Linked DNA regions of Callithrix jacchus. The protein of the gene in region 1 interacts with the protein of each later gene in a pairwise test. Links are inferred from orthologs where the notes say so. Each region holds a gene or a part of one and is shown in the gene's direction. Other genes may lie near its edges.

Region 1 (2,668 bases):
GCCCACACAGCAGCGGCGGGACCCCCAGAAACCTATTACGACCGCCCCCCAGGAGACCCACCACCAGGCCCCGACTGTGCCGAGCTCCCTGCTCGCCCAGCCCCGCGAGTAGCGAACGCAACAATGTTCCCCTGGGGCCACGACAGAGCCAGCGTGCCGAGATACCCAATCCCCGCGCGGGCGCCAACGACTCTCGCGCCAGTAGGCCCTTGACTTGGTTCAAGACGGGGGACTGGGGACTCCCAGGACGAGAGCAGAGTGAACGAGGACAAGGTGATGCTCCACGCGTTTCTACTTCAAGTCTGGTCCGGTTCTGCCCGGTCTGGCCCAGCCGAGCAGCAACCCCAACACTACCACAGCTTGCCCTTCCGCTTGCTCTGGCTGCCCGCAGACTTGGAGCTATTTTAAGGCGAAACCACCTGGCCACGCCTCCTGGAGCACCCGATAAGCCAATCCACGCTAGGCCACGCCCCTCTAGCGCGCAACTGAGAGGCCAACGGTCGCGCGGGTGACGGTTAGGGCGGGACTTGCTTCGGTTGTGAGCCGGAGAAACTTGAGCTGGTTGCCCCGCCCACGGTGCCTGAAGCCCCAAAGGCTAGGATTAGGGGCTCGAAGTCTGGCATGGACCGCCTGGCCAGGTGTTCGGTTCACGATTAGGTGGGTGGCTGCCCCGCCTCGGGAGCGCGGCTTAATAGTTGAGAGCCGGGGGTCCAGGCCGCAACTGCGGCCCACGCAACGCCGAGGGCGGCCACACTACCAGGTGTTCCACTCCCCTGGGACTGTGGGCAAGGACCCGGGGCGGGGCGAGGGGCAGGTGATGACATCGGAGCTGCGCCGGAGGCCGGGGGACTTGTCCTCCTCCCAGGACAGATGATATTCGCCGGCTGGGCCGGCCGAGCTGTGCCGTGCACTCCGGGACGCAGGGGGCGCTGCACCCGCGCTGGGTCAGCCTCCGCAGGGCCCCGCCAACCCGGTAACAACCGGCGTCAGTGACGACTTCGCCGCGCGTCGATCAGCCATGGCCACCGCTCTTGCGCTACGCAGCTTGTACCGAGCGAGACCCTCGCTGCGCTGTCTGCCTGTTGAATTTTCCTGGTGAGCTGGACCCCTCACTGTTGACCATCCCACCCCCTAGGGCCGGCGACTGCCACCCCGCACCTTCTGGCTTCTCGGGCGGCCCGTCCCGGCCCTGTGCCCCTGACCCGTTCCCTCCGCAGGGCCCCGCGACGGGGGCATCGGCTCTCGCCAGCAGATGACGAACTGTATCAGCGGACGCACATCTCTTTGCTGCAACGCGAAGGCTTTCAGACCATGTACATCGACAGTTACAACAGCCGCGGCTTCATGATAAACGGAAACCGCGTGCTCGGGCCCTGCGCTCTGCTCCCGCATTCGTTGCTGCAATGGAACGTGAGTCCTGACCCGCTGTGAGGAAACTGAGGTCCAGAGTCACAGGTCCTCAGCCTGCTTGTGTCCCTGTAGACGTGGCTTTCCTCTATCTCCTGTAGTGGATGGAGGTGGGGAGAAGCTGCGTAGATTTGTCGTACTGAATAAATCATCTCCCTGCACAGGTGGGATCCCACCAGGACATCACCGAAGAGAGCTTTTCCCTCTTCTGGATGCTGGAGCCCCGGATAGGTACTGGGGACAGGGGAGGCAGGGCAGAGGTGCTTTGAGCCCTAAAAGGCAACCCCCACTCCAACCTCTCAACAGAATTGTAGACTAGTCTCATCCTCACTTCCCTAGAGATTGTTGTGGTGGGGACTGGAGACCGGACTGAGAGGCTGCAGTCCCGGGTGCTTCGAGCCATGAGGCAGCGGGGCATTGCTGTGGAAGTGCAGGACACGGTGAGTCCTATAACTGGGGCCTGCTGTGGGGAGTACAGGCCTGGCACTAGACAGGCTGATTCTGGCCTTTTCTTTGCAGCCCAATGCCTGTGCCACCTTCAACTTCTTGTGTAATGAAGGCCGAGTAACCGGAGCTGCTCTCATCCCTCCACCAGGAGGGACTTCACTCACATCTTTGGGCCAAGCTACTCAGTGAACCACCAGGAACTGACCTGCTGACTACACTCTGCCAGTTCCCAGTGCTTTCACCCTTATCTCCCCTTTGGCATTTATCTTGCTTACCAACATAATAATTTATACACTTCTCCCATTTTGTATCAGGTGTGTTGCTGGCCAGGTGCTGCTGGCTCACTGAGCTCTTGGAGAAAAATGTGAAGAAACCAAGGGGTCACTTTTTCATCTAGATTACTTAGGATAGTATGTTTACCTGTTCTAGACCTTGCTCACATGCAGATTTCAGAGGACCTCAATGCCTTTTCTCACAAAATCACTGATTTTTTTTTTTCTCTGAGACAGAGTCTCGCTCTGTCACCCAGGCTGGAGTGCAGTGGTATGATCTTGTCCCACTGCAACCTCCACCTCCTAGATTCAAGTGATTGTCCTGCCTCAGCCTCCTGTGTAGCTGGGATTACAGGCCCCCACCACTGCACCTAATTTTTTTTTTTTTTGACATGCTGTGGGGTGATTTCTGCTCACTGCAACCTCTGCCTCCCGCGTTCAGGTGATTCCCCTGCCTCAGCCTCCCAAGTAGCTGGACTAAAGGTGCATGTCACCACGCCCAGCTAATTTTTGTATTATTAGGGATAGGGTTTTAATATGTT
Region 2 (2,419 bases), on another chromosome or scaffold:
GTGGTGTTGGTTTTGGGTTTGGTCGGTATGTTAAAAATGGTACTGGCTATAGCATTTGTTTGACCAAAAAGCAGCAGTAGGCACAGTGCAGTAAAACAAAGGAAAAGAAAAAAAAAAGAATGCTAGACATGGCCAGGAAACAGGATTGGAATGCAGAGCACATGTGTGGAGGTTAAGCTGGGATGGGACAGATAGAAGGAAGGATGGGTGTGCATAGGTTGTTTTATTTATACTGGAGTGTATTGGAGGCATTTTTTTCTCAGGGGAGACAAGATCACTATTCAAGGTGTTTGGGAGCTGAGTATGAAATACAAAGCTGGAAAATGAATAGATGTTATCAAGCCAGCTGTTAGGGTGGCATCAGAATCCTGCCCTTTTAAAACAGGTGCAGTTTTTAATCATTTTTATTGTGCTTTTAAAACACATGAAATAATGTGGTTAGTGGATAGTATAAATTTGATATTATTTTCTAGAGCTACCTACATTTCTTAATAATGATAGAGCTATAGTTATGAGAAGGCAAACTGGCAAAAGTACCATTAAACTATGGCTCATTATAAGAAAATGAAGTTTGGGAAATGACGTATAGTATTTGTGTTAGTTCATTCTTGCACTGCTCTAAAGAAATACCTGAGACTGGGCAGTTTGTAAAGAAAAGAGGTTTAATTGGCTCACAATTCTACCAGCTATACAGAAAGGATAATGGCTTCTGCTGCCGGGGAAGCCTCAGGTAATTTATAATCATAGCAGAGGGGGAAGCAGGCACAGCTTATACAGCCAGAGCAAGAAGAATAGGGGATGTGGGAGAGGTGCTACATACATTTAAACAACCAGATCTGGTGAGAACTCTATTACGAGAACAGCACCAAACGGGGAAATTCACTCCCATGATCTAGTCACTTCCTACCAGGGCCTACGTCCAACATTGGGGATTACAATTCTGTGACATGAGATTTGGGAGGGGATGCAGATCCAAATCATATCAGTTGTTATTTGAAGAGGAATAGTGTAGATTTGAGAAGTGTGAAAGTAGATGTCAAATCTTTTCTCTCATGCTTTTCTTTTGTTTGATACTAGGTAAAAGCTGCTGAAACACCTCAAGAGCCAGAGGAATTCAGATTGCCAAAAGGCCAACACTTTGATATGATAAATATTAAGAGCGTTCCAAAAGGCAAGATTTCTATTGTGGAAGCATTGACACTTCTCAATAATCATAAACTTTATCCAGAAACATGGACTGCTGAGAAAATAGCGCAAGAGTACCTTTTAGAACAGAAAGATGTGAATTCCCTTCTTAAATATTTTGTTACTTTTGAAGTCAAAGTCTTCCCTCCTGAAGACAAGAAAGCAATACAACCAAAATGAAGAAAAGCACTAAAATGTCCTATGTGTACTCCTCATCTTTCATCCTGTATATTTTCTCATTTTTAGCATATTAAATTATGTTAATTACCAAGTGTTTAATGCTCTTATTGTGAGAACATACTCTTAATGTTTATTGAGCTCCCTGACTTTTCAAGATTGCCATAGCATGTATTTTGTTTTTTTTAAATTTTGTTTAGGCATATTTCATATGTAAATGTCAGCATGACTATCAGCACATCTGTACCTTTATTTTAAGTAAAATAATTAATTTGTTGTTTTAGGCACATCATGCCAACTTTTAGATTGGTCATACGACCCCTTGGGAAATGTTCTGAATCCCTCATTTAAGTTTTACTTTCCATGTTAAGTGTTTCGTTCATTCTTCACATGTGATAGTGAAAATAAAAGCTTTCCTGACTCAAAACTGTCATTTTTTGGGTCAGGGAAAGACTTGATAGCAAGGTACACTAACAATATTTCCCAAATATAGGCACACAGGAGAAAACGAATTAATAGAATCTAATTAAAATTACACCAGGGAGTAAGAAGTATTGAGGATTTATTTTATTTTGATTTGGTTTTAAGTATGGAATAATTGTCTTTACAGTTACAAAAAGTAATTTGTGGTGTTTACAAAATGTTGGGAATTTCTGCTTTGACAAATAGGTAAGTCCCATGGCTTCAGAGAGGCAGAGAGCAGTAGAAACTTTAGAAAAACGTACATTTCTCTGGATTTAACATGGAAATAGAAAAATTTAAAGAATAACTTAAAAACCATGAAAATGAAATTTGGCGATTATATATGCTAAATGTTAACCCTAGTTGAGAGAAGAGAGAAAAAATAGCAAGTAGAAGCAGAGAACAGGATCATTGGAAGGGACCTGGGAAATTGCTGCTTCATCCGTTTTAGCAAACTTGTTAGCACAGCACGTAGGATCTGAGTGTGTACGAGTTTAGCTCTGCCTAATATATTATTCCTTGTGGGATCTTTGGGGGACTATATCCTCTTTGAGATTGAATTTATTCTATAAAATTAGCCTAATGCCATCTGACT

What was found.
Region 2: the proteins of NDUFAF3 (region 1) and NDUFAF4 interact in binary tests that used the Homo sapiens proteins (3 or more experiments, as listed by UniProt). The two-hybrid records come from large-scale screens. The link is inferred for Callithrix jacchus from reciprocal best matches to the Homo sapiens genes NDUFAF3 and NDUFAF4.

The regions. Positions count from the first base shown.
Region 1 is NC_133516.1:31,651,221-31,653,888, forward strand, and holds NDUFAF3 (NADH dehydrogenase [ubiquinone] 1 alpha subcomplex assembly factor 3), read left to right. Parts: upstream 1-994; 5' UTR 995-1,018; coding exon 1,019-1,095; intron 1,096-1,217; coding exon 1,218-1,410; intron 1,411-1,571; coding exon 1,572-1,638; intron 1,639-1,746; coding exon 1,747-1,847; intron 1,848-1,926; coding exon 1,927-2,043; 3' UTR 2,044-2,157; downstream 2,158-2,668. UniProt on the Homo sapiens protein: Essential factor for the assembly of mitochondrial NADH:ubiquinone oxidoreductase complex (complex I).
Region 2 is NC_133505.1:102,832,391-102,834,809, reverse strand, and holds the end of NDUFAF4 (NADH dehydrogenase [ubiquinone] 1 alpha subcomplex assembly factor 4), read left to right. Parts: intron 1-1,077; coding exon 1,078-1,365; 3' UTR 1,366-1,789; downstream 1,790-2,419. UniProt on the Homo sapiens protein: Involved in the assembly of mitochondrial NADH:ubiquinone oxidoreductase complex (complex I). May be involved in cell proliferation and survival of hormone-dependent tumor cells. May be a regulator of breast tumor cell invasion.